Linked DNA regions of Rhinolophus ferrumequinum. The protein of the gene in region 1 binds, or shares a complex with, the protein of each later gene. Links are inferred from orthologs where the notes say so. Each region holds a gene or a part of one and is shown on either strand. Other genes may lie near its edges.

What was found.
Region 2: the proteins of NDE1 (region 1) and RAB9A are in contact, whole or in part, in a crystal structure (PDB 7E1T), measured with the Homo sapiens proteins. The link is inferred for Rhinolophus ferrumequinum from reciprocal best matches to the Homo sapiens genes NDE1 and RAB9A. Residues at the interface, in NP_001137451.1 of Homo sapiens: Asp99, Gln102, Thr103, Ala105, Ile106, Gln109, Leu110, Tyr113; in NP_001182257.1 of Homo sapiens: Ile40, Val42, Phe44, Asn46, Gln59, Trp61, Arg68, Phe69, Ser71, Leu72, Pro75, Phe76.

The regions. Positions count from the first base shown.
Region 1 is NW_022680357.1:13,404,288-13,411,629, forward strand, and holds the start of NDE1 (nuclear distribution protein nudE homolog 1), read left to right. Parts: upstream 1-4,174; 5' UTR 4,175-4,381; intron 4,382-5,933; 5' UTR 5,934-5,973; intron 5,974-7,342. Other genes in the region: MARF1 (meiosis regulator and mRNA stability factor 1), read right to left, coding at 346-489. UniProt on the Homo sapiens protein: Required for centrosome duplication and formation and function of the mitotic spindle. Essential for the development of the cerebral cortex.
Region 2 is NC_046284.1:116,493,475-116,500,967, reverse strand, and holds the start of RAB9A (ras-related protein Rab-9A), read left to right. Parts: upstream 1-4,322; 5' UTR 4,323-4,501; intron 4,502-7,493. UniProt on the Homo sapiens protein: The small GTPases Rab are key regulators of intracellular membrane trafficking, from the formation of transport vesicles to their fusion with membranes.

The DNA.
Region 1 (7,342 bases):
GAAGGCTATCGTAAAATAAAATCCATTTCATATTTTCTTCTGATTTGCTTCTACAATGTGGATTTTATCTTTGGAATCTGTGACTTTAATGAGAAACACATCTTCCCAAAATGTTAACATTAAATATTTAAAGCATCTCCTGTGACTTAGAGTAGAAGTACAGGAGTTAAAAAATGATGCTCTCGTTGAATCAGGAGTTACAATACTGTGCAATAAGGAGTCATATAAGCAGGACACGAGGGGAAACTCAGCCGACTCCAGGCAGACAGACCGCCCTGCACCAAATGGACCTCTCATCTATTTGCATTAGGAACTTGCTAGGTCCTTAGTCTTGCACATAGTTACCGTTTGGGGACTAAGTGGCAACGTCTGCTCGGGACCCGAAAAGCAATTAGAGAATTTCCAAAGCCATGGCTTAGCGTCATTATCTTGTTGAAGCCATCCAGGTGTTCTACTGCAGGAGTTCTCAGTTCCGTTTCCTTCCATCATACAGCCACACAAAGTGGTTCAACATGCTTTCATCTTTCTTTTCTTTCATTCTTCCACCCTGTTAAGTAAGAGAGATTTCATTGTTAGTTATATGCATAAGTACAAAGTTTACTATTAAAATGTGAGTCTGCAACTGTATTTATGGTGCAATGGCTCCCAACAAGTCAGATCTTAAGGAACTAAAGTAGAATGGCTATCAAAGCATACTATAGGTTACTAAAATTTGGTAAACCTAGTTGACTGTTTATGTTTGAACTCTAACTGTGTCAACCGCATTTTTAAAAAACTATACTCTTCCATTCCTCATGTTCCATTGTTCTTCAAATAGAAAGGAACTCTGGATGAGACCTATTTCTTTCTATAAACAGCCATGCTTGACAGAAGTAGCCAAATCTTGGACACCTGCATATCCCTGAGTGTAACCGCTCCTCTTCACATGGCTGGAGCCAACCTCCAGCCCTGAGTTGACTTTTGCTATAGTTTTTCCTAATTCTTATCGACTCTCTCTCCCTAAAGACTCTACTTGTGAGAGTAAAAATATTAACAGTAGAGAAGATGTAATTTTGGTCAACGAACAACCACATGTCCTCATTACCAATTACGTTAAGATTTTGACATTGGTTTAAGAGCAGCTTATCCCAGTGTCTTTGACATGAGCACAGAGGGTTCAACTAAGTGACCTCTGTGGACTTTGAATTTGATTGTGTTACAGAACAAATCAAACCAAGTTCTATTTACTTATTATGACAGTGGAGTCTGGTATACCACCACAAATCTAACAGAGAAATCTCAAGTCCCAGATGTACTGTATCTACTCCGAGGCAGCTACACTTAAACAGTACAGTAAGAGCAGAGCAAATCAATAATAGCCATTGGGCATGGAGGCAGCCTGCCAAGGGCAAGGACAACCGAATCCCACTTCCAAGTCTTCCAACAACCACCCACTCTTACCTACCGTGGCCATCTTAAGGTTATCAATTTATGTTTCAGAAATTTACTCTGGGCCTCTAGAAAAGAATTTCTTTTAGTTATCTCTCTGATGAGATGCTGTTTTCAAGTGGTTTAATGTCCACATAGTAAGGTGAGGGGCAAGATGACCATGCAAGAATATATATATGTAAGAGCTGATTGTATAAAGCAGGGGTGGGCAAAACCAGCCCTCTGCTTGTACCTAAATGACCTTCAAGCTAAGAATGTATTTTACATTTTTTAAAAATTATTAGAAAAAAATTAAAATGTTTTATGACACAAGATTATATGAAATTCAAATTTCAGTGTCTATAAATAGTTTATCAAGACATGGCCACAGTCACTTGTTTTAAGTACTGTCTGTGGCTTGTTTTTGCACTACAATTACAGAGCAGAGTATTTGCAACAGAGACTTACATGGTCCACAAAGCCTAAAATATTTACTATTTGGCCCTTATGCTGAAGCCACAAAACTTCATTAAATGTTGGTTTCTTCCTCTGGAAAGTGTGGCTGATTCTTCTCCTGTCCCCTCTCACAACATTATTGAGAGGGGAAAAAAACTTAGATAAAGGAGCCGACCACCTGTTTGTTTTCACCACTGTATTGCCTGTGCCAAGCACAGGGCCTGGCTACTTAGAAGAGACTAAGTAAATATTTGCTGATAAGGGAATGAATAAAGCTGTTTACCTAGTATAGGAGTATACAGTTAGGAGTTAATTGGGATACACAGATGGAGTTTACTGCCACAATGTTAATAAATCATGGTACTTGTTTTTCCTATTAAATACAGGTCTTATATCTCCCCACAATCTCTTCTAGATCATGAGAATTTGTGATGTGCAACAGGCTCTCGCAAACCTCTTCAAGGCCAATCCTGAAAGTGTGCTGACAGGTAGAGTACAATATAGTTTACTAAACATTGTTCTTTAACACTTATAAATTCAGCAAATGTTTACTTAGTATCAACTATGTGGCAGGCCTGTGCTTGGCACAGGGATACAATGATGAAAATGACCAGACAATGATATCCATTTTATGTAACTTTTTTTCCACAGTAAATCTGAGATAGACAAGAGAGCAACTGGCCACATCTTAAACAGAGAAGGAAACAGAGTTTTGTAACTTGCCCCATATCACACAATTAGAAAGGAGGCAGAACCAGGTCTGTCCACCTCTTTCTACCACACCAAGGTGACTTCACTATTGCTCAACAGTTAACAGAAAGTACAAATAAATGTACTATTAACTTGTTAGTGACCTGCACCTGGAAAATTTTCCCAAACATTCCTGGGAATGCCACTAAGGGACTTAGGTAGCCAAAGCGAGTTTGGTTTGAGTGGAAGTCTTACTTCTGCCATCATCTCTCAGTCTTTGAGCAATTAATGGTTGAGAGCAGACTCTGAAGTCAGACTGGCTTGCCTGTTGATCCCCATTTCTGCCGCTTCCTATCTGTGCAGCTTTGGATAACTCACAAACTCTCCCAACCTCAGTTCCCATCTGTAAAATGGGCCTGATAACAACAGTAGCACCCTTATAGGGCTGTTGCTTGGATTAAAAGAGATAATCGAAGTAGAAACTTTAGCAGTGGCCTCCTCTTAACACCCAATCTAGTCCTCAAAGGCTACCCCACCACATCCCACCTCACAGCTCTTTTATCTAAAATTATCTTGTTTATTTGCTTGTTTTTTATTATCTGCTTCCCCCACTTGAATATAAACTCCGTGACATCAGGGATCATTTGCTCTTACTCATTTTTGTATCCCCTGCCTCTAGCACAGTGCCTGGCACTTATCAATAATTGTTGAACGAATGAAGAGTTCAATAAATATCTAGTAAGACCATTTAAATTAGGTTTCAATTTTTACCTTTCAAAGATGTTGGGAAGTCCAAAAGACACAAATGTAACTGGAAAGCTCTCGGTAATACCACAAAGGTGCTTGGGAAACTCTTAAAAGGTATCAAGGTGTCGCGTTACAATTAGTAGTGGGAGTGGCTTAACCCCTACGAAAACTCAACACTATCTGTCAAACCAGACGCTACACCGTAGAGTGCTGGAAAACTGAGGATGCAAAAAGCTCAGCGGGGGTGCAAAAGCACCCGCCCCGTCTTCCTCTCTTAACCTTCCAATTGTGCTTTCCACACCGGGAGGGCCCACAGGGAGCAGGGAGACAGGTGCGGACGGCGAGCCAAACACCCCACCTCCCAAAAAAGGCAGCAGGGGCGCAGCAGTCACAGTCTTGAGCGGACGTGAAAGGGAGACAACCTGAACCTTTAGTGGGAGCCTGACTGGTTGGCCCCAGTCCTTCCCCTAGGACTGGTCAACCTCCCCTACCCCCTCCAGCAATAGGCAGAGGAAGGGGGGGCACTGTCTCCCCGACAGCCTGGCGGTCCCAGAGCAGTGGGCCATTCAAGAACTAGTTCCCAGAGCTGCCAGCACACTCACCTCAGCCGCCAGCTCCACCTCGGCTCACATTCCGGCCCCACCGCCTTCCCCCCGCCCCCCCAGGCCCTTTGTTTTGATTCCCGACTCCGCCGCTCCCGCCGCCGCCGCCAAGCGCACCCTCAACTTCCGCTTCCGCACCGCACCACCCCTGTCGCAAAACCGACGCCCTTCTCTCCCTCTCGCCCCGCCCCTTCCTCCACCCCTCCCCCGCCGCCGCGTCCTCCCCGCGCGGGGCGTGCTGGGAACCCGGGGGGGGCGGGGCCTCGCGGCCCTGCAGCCTCGTCAGGCTCAGTCCCCTCCCGATAAACCCCTAAATAGGGACCTTCCCGGGGGGCGACCCCGGCTTTTTTGGCAGAACCCCCAAGTTTAAGAAGGTCTTCCTCCTGGCTTATAGTTGTGGAGTGGAAAGGAACCTGAAAGCGGAGAATTCGGGAGCTTGTGAGGTGGAACCCGGGGAAAAACCTGCCAACCAGGATTTGGTACAATTCAGTTCTTTCGATCTTTTGAGGGAAAGCGACTTAAACGGGATGTCGATGAAAAACCATCGTTTTGCCTTTCTCCTCTCTCTGTCTGTCTCTCTGTCTCTCTCTCTGTCACACACACACACACACACACACACACACACACACACACATCTTGTCACGTGATTCTTTTTTTTTTTTTAATTAAATGACGCATGTTTTCCACACCATCCTTAATCTAGTGCAACCTAGTGGCGAGTGGAGAAAAAAAAAACTGCCAACTGAGCTGACCGCCAGGTCCTTCCGGCCCTCAGGGTTTCTCGCATAGTTACGACCCAGCTGGCAAAGATAAAGTGGGAGAACTAAGACGAGGCTGGATGTTGTCACCGACAATTAAGAGGTCCTCGTGTCTTTTGTAAGATAAACTAATTTTTAAAAGCCCTGCTCCAAAGCTCCTTAAAAAAGAACACAACTTTTCTAGTGACAGGTTGGGCGAGCAGAAAGGAGACCTTAATAATTGAAAAAGCCTTGTGAAGCCAAGCACAGCTTTTATTTTAGGTGGATAGATATGCCACGTTTGGGTTTTGTTTTGTTTTGTTTTTCTTTGCCTCACAATCTACTTTTACCTAAAATTAAGAAAATACACAACAATTTTTTTTTTAACTCACTAGGCACAATTATCATTTGTGAAACTGCCAGCTGCTCACTATTTCCTGTTGCAAATTAGGAGACAAACAAAGCATATAGAGCTACCTGTGAATCTAGACATAGTTTAGGATGTGCTATCTGAATACTATGGAAAAGTTTACTTCTGAAGTTTGACAAGAAACAGGTTCACTTTGCCAAAGAGTCAGCAACTAGAGATGGCCCAAAGAACTTTTTTCCCCCTGCAGTCTGCAGTGTGAGGCAATTTCATCAGGCAATTTGCAGTAAGTGGGGTGAATTTCAGGGGAAGCTAATCCATCCCTATAGACATCCTTGTAGAGGTGTTGTGGAGGGCAAGATCAAACACGTAGCTGAAGAATCCTTTGTGATTGAATTACATTTTCCAGTACGCAGATGACAAGTACACACACATCATCTGCTTGCTTAGGTATTTATTACTTCTGAGTAAATCTTCATTGGATCTGTGTGTGGGGAGGATTTTCCAAGTGGGAATTAGAACAGATGGAAAAGCAACCCTGTTTCTTGCGTTTTTTTTTTTTTTCCAAAGTACCAAACCAATGTGCTTCTCTTTAGGGGTGTTTTTCTTTCTCTTTTTTTTTTCTAGTGGAGTATCTCTGAACATAGACCACAGTAACTAAAAATATAAAAAAGGAAACAAAATAATTGTGGGTTTTTTCATTGCTTTTTTAAAAAGAGGGTTTAGCCACAAAACATTAATAAAGAAAGAGCAAACACATTTTGTTTGAGTTTGCTTGGCATTCTTTCAAGTCCAGAGCTGTGCCTGGTCTCAACAGGTTAAATGCAGTAAATGAAAATGAATCAATCATACAAAATGGAAAGCAAACGAAAAGTCTAAATTACAAATAATTTTTAAAGAAATGCAATTTTTTTTTTTTTTTTGTAGAAAACTAGCCTGAGCAGAGTACACTAGCCCTTGGAAGCAGGTAATTATGAATCAAAATACAATTTGATCTTTATGAAAGAGTGCTTTAACCTTTTTAAGATATATTTTCTTAAGCATAGCCTCTGTTAATCTTGTTCCTATTTCTTTGCTGGGCAAACTCTTTTCTCAGAGAGTAAGAGTAAGTTTCAGTATTTTCCTTATCCAAATTATAATCTTCATATTTATGAAACCAGGATGTAGATTGATTTTTGTGCTGTTTAAGCAGCTACTTTACATTCAATTCAGCTCCTAAATTAATCTGGCTGCCACCAAAGGAGTTTCTCCCCGATTAACTTCTGTCTATGTTAGGTTAGATTTAATGTCTTGAAATGATAAGTTATGAAAGAAGGATTTAAGAGAAACCGAGCTTTGCTCATTCATACCTGAATGCTACAAGGAAACTAAATTGAATAAAGAGAGGATAATGTGTTCAAGTACCAAAATTTCCCATTCGTTTTTAAGGTTTTACCTAATGATATTTACCTAAACTCCTATTCCTGAAGAATATTTTAACGACAATCATTTCAATGTCCTCTCCCCTTTTTCAAATGGAAAATGAAATTGAAAAACCAACTAGTTTCAATGACTTGTGTCATTTAGTCAGGACTGGTACCTCATCAATTCGTGCTTCAGTTCATCTGTAAACTTGGGTGATAATTCCCGGTCCAGAAACCTCCCAGGATGGTGAGGGTCAATAAAATTCGGGAGTGAAAGAAAGCATAAAAGCAAAAATGTCAAGAGAATACAAATGATTTATTAGTGTTTAGTATCTGGGACCCGGATGGAAGTTTCCCGAAAGACATTTGGGTACTTTCCTTAAAACTGTTGATGTAGGTGGTGGTTCCCTTTTGCGTCTTTGAGCTTCAGGAACTAGCAAAGAGTCAAAGTAGAATTAGAGAAAAGTCATTCTTAATCTTGGCAGGGAGGCAGCAGGGATTCTGAGTATGGTTGAAATCCTGAGTAGCTGAGATCCCTGTGTGTCGAGGTTAAGTGCTGAAGAACACGTGTGGAGAACTCAAGCCGACCCAGCTTTAAAGCCTGATTTAAGAAATAAGACCTTGGGCAATGCATTCAACTTCCCGCACCTTAGTTTTCTCTGCTTTCAAATGAGGACAATAAAAGTGCTTTCCTGTGGTTCTCATCATTTTGGTCTCAGCTCTGTTGTCATTTCCTAGAGTGGCCTTCCCTGACTATTTTCTCTGAAGTGACTCCTCCCCAGCCCCTTTCTAACACAGGACCTTGCTTTTATTCATAGCACTTATTGAAGTCTGAAAATCGTTTTAACTTTTTGTTTGCTGGTTTAGTGCGTTTCTGTGTTAATACTGTAAGCTCTTTGAGGACAGGCATCTTGTCTGACATTTATTTTGTTA
Region 2 (7,493 bases), on another chromosome or scaffold:
GTTTCCTTCAAAGCCCTTTATCCAAGTTGTTAAGTTGCTCATTAAATGTCTCCTCTGCTCTTCTGAGCTCTCCTAGGAAAGGGACTGAATCTATCTTATTCACCAAGGGAAGGTCATATGATATATACACAGCTGGTGGAATAAAAATGTGGGGAGGGTGCTTAGGGACACCCCTTGAATTCTTCCCGTGTCTTATCTACCACTGTATCCTCAGGACCTGGCACAGTGTGCACGCTCACTGTATATTTGTTGAATAAATATTAACATGAAGTGACTTTTCATTTCCTGCAAATCGTAAAACCACCCAAGGAGACAGAATAAACGTGAGTCTATGCTGCAGGCAATGGCAAAGTGTGGGCTGCTATGGTGGTTACCCACACATTTGGGAGGGGCCGGTTGTGTTAGCTCCTGACTCCATGCTCCATCTCCTGACAGTGGGCAGACTGATGGAAGGAAGCATGGCAGTGGCTTTGGATTCCCAGGTGGCCATTCATCATCAACCACTGGACCCATGCAAGAGTATATGATCTATCATGGATGTGGGTCAGACTTTGCATTTGATCGCATCAATCTAAAGATTGCAAATTACGCAATTTGCTCATTGATGATATATAGATTAAGGATGATGCTACCATTCACTTTTTGATTCAGTACTCCTTTTTAAGCTACGCAGTGAAGAAATCAGATTTCTGGTATTTCCTCATATACTGAAATTTTATCTGACCTAAGGATTGGGATCAATAGTTCTGCATTAATGTAAGAAACATGCTGAATTTAGTTTCTAGGCAAACTGGAAGAATGTGATATTGATTTGAAATACTGAAAATGTATATATTATATAAATATGTAAATACATATAAATAAATATATTAGATAAATATTTCAATATACAGAGGGTTCCCAAAAAATGTATACACATTTAAAAAAAATTTTTTTTTATTGGAGAACAGTGTGTTTCTCCAGGGCCCATCAATTCCAAGTCGTTGTCCTTCAATCCAGTTGTGGAGGGCGCAGCTCAGCTCCAAGTCCAGTCACCGTTTTCAATCTTAGTTGCAGGGGGCGCAGCCCACCATCCCATGCGGGAATTGAACTGGCAACCTTGTTAAGAGCTTGTGCTCTAACCAACTGAGCCATCCGGCCGACCCTGTATACACATTTTAAGGAAAAAACTATTAAAATTATACTACAATGAATGATGCTAGCATTCATTTGATTCACGCCATCTTTTGAGCGAACGTCATACTACACATTGCTACGTAATTCAATTCAACTTCGAAAAGTAATACATAGATAACATCTCTTAAAATGTGTATACATTTTTGTGGTACCCCCGGTATATTGAAAAGTTATACGAGAAATGTTTCCTCCCCCAAATTGGGATTTTCCTCCACATATTATTTGGTAATGTTTTTTCACTTAATATTATATGTTGTTATCTAGTTTCACTCTGACTTTCCCTTAAAGTAAAATATAATGGATTCTGAATTACATTTTATGCTTTTCTCCCTTCTTAGTATAGCTATACAAGAACATCTATGCAATATTGAGGACAAATCTCTATTTTGGCCAATGACTTGGGAAAAATATCAAATTTCTGATGATTTAAATATGTCATGTAATGGTCAAATTGCCTACCATTGAGTTCTGTGTTTTTCCTTGTATGTAAAAAGTATACAGATACGCCTGGAGATATTTCAGGTTCGGTTCCAGACCATGAGAAAGCGAGTATTACAATAAAGCGAGACGTAATCTTTTTGCTGGGGGAGGGGGTCTTACATTCAATTCGTAAAACACACAACATCTGTGAAGCACAATAAAGTGAAGCCCAATAAAACGAGGTATGCCTGTAATCAATTTAATTATAATAAGTATTTATTATACTTGAGTCTGGAGCCCACTTGTAGCTTTTCATCAGAGGTACCAGAGGTGATGTCTTTCAGACTCCAGCTTGAAATGGAGTATTGACTCCCACTGCTCATAGTACTAAATGAATAGATGTCATTTAAGGAATCATTAATGCCTAGCAACCTTAACCTCTTTTTCCTTCATGAGTGATGCTTTAGATGTTTACAGAACATAAAGACAAAAAGTCCTAATTAGATGAAGGGAGTCAAACTAGGTCAGTTCTTCAATGGTTTCATCAGTAAACAAGTTCATGGAGGAAGGGAGATAGAGACCATCTATCTCACTTGTGTCAGCTTGCCAACCACACACATTCCACAATAAAAATCCCCCAAACTTGCCCTTTAGGGAAAAACCTTTTGACCCAAACTACTCTTGCACTGTCAGATCAGTTAGGTAAAGAAGTGAATGGTGGAAGAGACCAGACAGAATATATGAATATTCTTAAGTGTCAGTTGGCTAGTGACCAAGTAATATCTCAGAAAAAGTAACTTTCCTTATTCTTTCTTCAGGTGCTGACTATAAGCTACACTCAGATATGTTTGCATGCTTCGCTTACATTTTGGAACAGCCTAAGAATCACTTGTAGGACCTTCTAAGAACCTGTTTTTGAAAACTCTTGGATTTCTCAAGGCTTACTTTAAGCCAAGATACAATAATTTTGTAAGAGCACTTGTTAATAGCTGGTTTGTATTAGCAGTTGAAGAGATCAATTCCTATTCCATCACTGTTTGATTATGATTGAGATACAATTTTCAGGTGGCTTTTCCTTAGTGACCCTGGGCATTGCTTGTTGCATTTTAGTTCTATGTACATGACACTATGTATTTTTTTTCTTTTGGAAAATTCACTGTAATGTTCTTATATGTTTTATTGTGTAATTTTAATTATTATGTGTTTTAAAATTAGATAATGGATATCTCTTCCCCCTCCTTATTTTCAACAGATCTGTATTTTATAAACCTTTACTCATATTTCCTTGGGGAAATATCCTGCATGGATAAAAGAAAAATTCATTTAAACTCAAACTAGAACTCAATCTTTTTTACATGCCTAATTTTCACAAGTATTCTAAAACTGTCTTTTATATTTGCGAGAAACTCAAACATAACCTTTCCAGTGCTGAATGAAAAGACTGCATTGGATTCATTACCTGAAAATGACTCCCTGAAGAGCCAGAGGTTATTTAATGATGATTACCTAGCAACTCATAAACGTGAGATCTTTCTCTTGGAAAATAAACAAACTAAATGTACCCCACAAAATATATTGAGGTTACTAAAAGCCCCTTCGGTCTCCAGGGGTCTTGTATCGGAAGACCCAGGCACTCAACTCCGTATCAGTAATTAAGAATAGCTTCCCCATGGGGCCGGCCCGGTGGCTCAGGCGGTTAGAGCTCTGTGCTCCTAACTCTGAAGGCTGCCGATTCGATTCCCACATGGGCCAATAGGCTCTCAACTACAAGGCTGCCAGTTCAATTCCTCGACTCCCGCAAGGGATGGTGGGCAGCGCCCCCTATAACTAAAATTGAACAAGGCACCTTGAGCTGAGCTGCCGCTGAGCTCCCGGATGGCTCAGTTGGTTGGAGTGCATCCTCTCAACCACAAGGTTGCCAGTTCGATTCCTCGAGTCCTGCAAGGGATGGTGGGCTGCGCCCCCTGCAACTAGCAACAGCAGCTGGACCTGGAGCTGAGCTGCGCCCTCCACAACTAAGATTGAAAGGACAACTTGAAGCTGAACAGCACCCTCCACAACTAAGATTGAAAGGACAACTTGACTTGGAAAAAAAAAAAAGTCCTGGAAGTACACACTGTTCCCCAATAAAGTCCTGTTCCCCTTCCCCAATAAAATCTTTAAAAAAAAAAATAGCTTCCCCAATACCGCCTTTTCCCATTACTGCTTTATATTTAGATAACAGAGCCAGTATTGTAACAAGAAAAATTTTTTTTAATTTATTGGGGTGACAATTGTTAGTAAAATTACATAGATTCCAGGTGTACAATTCTGAATAAGAAAAATTTTTAAATTTAATTCTTTTAGTCCTCAAATCACAGCTGTTTTCATTTTTCATCTACCGGTTTGCTTTTTGCGCATTCGCTTTCTCATCGTAATCACAACATCCTGTGTTTGTGCTTACGCGATGGGTTTCTTCCCAGTTTACGTAAACAAAGATAATAAGTATTATGTCGTGCCCTCTCTCACCGGAAGGCAGCCGGAGGACACGAGGGAGAGCCGGCCGCAAGAAAGACCTTGGTTTAGCAAGGAACAGCAGTCGGGGATTGGGCGAGGCAGGGGCAGACAGCCACCTCGAGACCCCAATTACCCGGGCCCCGCCCCGCGTCCCAGGCCCCGCCCCGCGTCCCAGGCCCCGCCCCGCGTCCCAGGCCCCGCACCACCTCCCAGGCCCCGCACCACCTCCAGGGCCCGCCCCTGCCCGTCGCCATATTGTTGCCTCAGCGCTAGGCGGGAGCAGCCGGAGTTGCATTCGGGCTGCGCTGCTACCTTGTCCATCCCGCAGAAACCCCGACCCTCTCTGTTTCCTCATTGCACCTGGACCGGCTAGCCCGGAGCTCCCGGACGTCCGCCGTGTGGCCGCGAGGTGAGCGGGGCTCGGACTCTCGGGCTTGGCCGGGGGCCAGGTGCTGGGGCCGGAGGCCGGGGCCGGGGCCGGGGCCGGGGCCGGGGCTGGGTCCGCTGGCTTCGGGGTCTGAGGTGAACGCGCGGGCGGCGGGTAATGCCTGGGCCTCGGGCAGCTAGCTGGGCGGGGTGCACGCGGGGCCTGCGCGGGCCACTCGCCGGCCCCGGGAGGGGGACGGCTTGTTGCCCCCCTACCTCCTCCTGACTGACGCAGGAAAGACGGGTTCCCACACGCACACACCGGGGAGGGACACACACCCCCAAACACCCAGGGAGGGAGATACATATACACAATCCCGGGAGGGAGAGAGGCACACGCACAACCCCCGGGGACAGACACATACACCAGCCTTTCCCCCAACCACTCGGGGCACACACCCACACACCCCAGCCCACCCAGACCAAACCCGCCCCCGAGTGGTTCCTGTAGAGAAAGCAAAGGCACGAGTTGATGTTGGCGACTTCTGACTCGCTCCCTCGGTGGACCCTTGCTAATGTGTTACGAGCACTCGGGTGAGGGGTTGGGAATGTACAGCCAGTCCTGGGGGCTGGAGGAGGTTTGGGGCGTTACCTGATTCAGGCTGGCTAATGTTTCCGAATCGCGCGTTCCTTCCTTTCTTCCAACTTAACTATGTAAAGAGGCAAGATGAGAATTTTAAGTGCTGACCAAGTCGTTGTGGAGGTGTTAGTTTTGTTGTTTCTTTTTAAGTGATGACACATCCCGTGACCACGGTTCTTTTGAGGAATGACTTTTCTGCTAGTTTGCAAATTGTCACGTGACCACATTCGTTTTATAGGATTTCAGCGTCCTGATGAAAGCAATGGACAGAATCTGATTGCTTTTTTAAAATTAAAAAACATTTTTTTTACTTGTTTATCCTTCAGTCTCTGGCACCATGGTTATGGAAAAATCCCTAAATTGCCTGTAATCTCAAAAACTGGTCAGTGGAGCAAAACTGTAGAGATGAAGGAAACCCAGAACTCTTCAGTCAGGGGTGTTTAAGAGACTGTTCTTAATTTTTCTTTTAGAAGCTTATGTTGAAGTTACAACGGCTTGTCCAGAACTCTTAGTATCTTAGATTCCCAAATCTAAGACAATGGTGGGGGGGGCAGTCTGGTGCTTTCAGTGTCTTTGTGTAGACATTGTAGTACATTTCTCTTGCTTATACTAAAATGTTTCTGGCTTGATGACATTTATTTTGGAGAGTTTTGTGATGTGAGGATATTTTTGGCTTATCATTTGTGAGGTTGGAGTGGACCAGTGAAACCTAAGTAGAACATCTTTGGCCTTGATTCCAAGCTGGGTTCTTGGAGATCAGGGAGATACTTGAGTGCTGTTCCCTCTTTTCCTACTTCTTCTTTTCTCTTTCTATCTCAGCTGCTTCTAACCGTGTAGGCTACAGTACTCTGGTGGCCTGAAATTAAGTTCGTTTGGTTTTAGAAGTTCATTTTTAGCCTCCCCTAATATCTTAACCATTTCTTGGGCAGCTACACTGGCACTGGATGTTCTGTCCATGTAAATCCTGTACATACATAATTTTATTTAATTTTCACAGCATTTCTGAGGCATTAGTCCATTTTACAGATGAGGAATTTGCTGGGGCACAGGAGGGTTCAGTCTGTTTCCCATAGTCACACAGGGCAGACCAGGATTCAAAGCAGGGGACTTTTGATAATGTCAGCAGGCATTTTTGGTTCACACCTGAGAGTGAGTGCTGCTGGCTTCTAGTGGGTAGAGGCCAGAGATCTGCTCAATGACTTAAAATGCACAGGACAGCCCCCCACAACAAAGAGTTGTCTGGCCCAAAATGTCACTAGTGCGGGGATTGAGAAACCCTACTTTACAGCAGTCCGAGTAACTTCAGAGCTCACATTTTAGTGCTTCTCTAGTTCAAATGCAATGTTGTTTTCCTATTTAGGATTCTTCCTCATTATTTTAAGAGCAGGGGTAAATTTGAGAACTTGAGATTTCCCTTGACTAAGAAGCATATTCATTCATTTGAAAGATTAAGGACTGAGAAGATAATTTTCTGATAACAGAATCCTTTTTTTCTTAGGGCAAAAGTGTCAAAAAAAACCCCAAAAAACTTGAGAGCCATTCAGATCCCTTGAAGTAGACTTAGGGAGTTTGGTTTCTGTATTATTCGAATTGTCAACAGACATTTTCTGAGTAGCCTGTCAGGCACTTATACAAAGGTGCTGGTGATTTGGAGGGCAGTAGGAGCTTCCAGTCTAATTACAATCATAAGATCAGGTTCTGACTTTGTCCTAGAACAAAATTTACTGCCTGGGCTACTCAAGGTCAGGCACCAGGTGTCATTAAAAAAAAAAAATACACACAAACAAAACGGGCACACACACAGGTACAACATGGCATTTACTGTGGGCAGACTTAGGTGAAATGAGAAGTTGCTGCCCTTTTGATAGCTTTGTAGTTTGACCACATGTGAATATTTAACAATCAAATTGAGTAGCCATTCTTGTTGAGCATAAACCTCTTCCTTAAATTTAGCCTCAGTAGACGGTAGTTATGCATGCGTTTTATCATTGAAATCAAGAAATAAATGATGACATTTTTTTAAAGAAAGACTTTTGTGTCATTTTCTTTTCTTGCATTTTCCAGCCTGTTTTCACCAGGCCTGTCTAAGACTAGGCCTTTCAATATATGTACTGCTTCATTCTGGTGGCAAGTGTAACTTTTAGCTGAACTTTGGGAGTGACTGAGAGGAGTCAAAAGGGCTGGTTCTGTTTTTAGGAATCTTTGTGGGTAGCTTTGCTTTTTGACTCATGCTAATGGACAGTGTGTTCTTTGCCAATGACTAGATTTCTCTGCCTCATATCAGGAGTTGTCTGCGTGGGGTAGGGGGTATTCTGAATTATACAGTTTAAAATGATCACTATGGCTTGGGATCCAAGGAAGGAAAGTGTGTTCTTTTCTTACTGGAGGGGTTTTA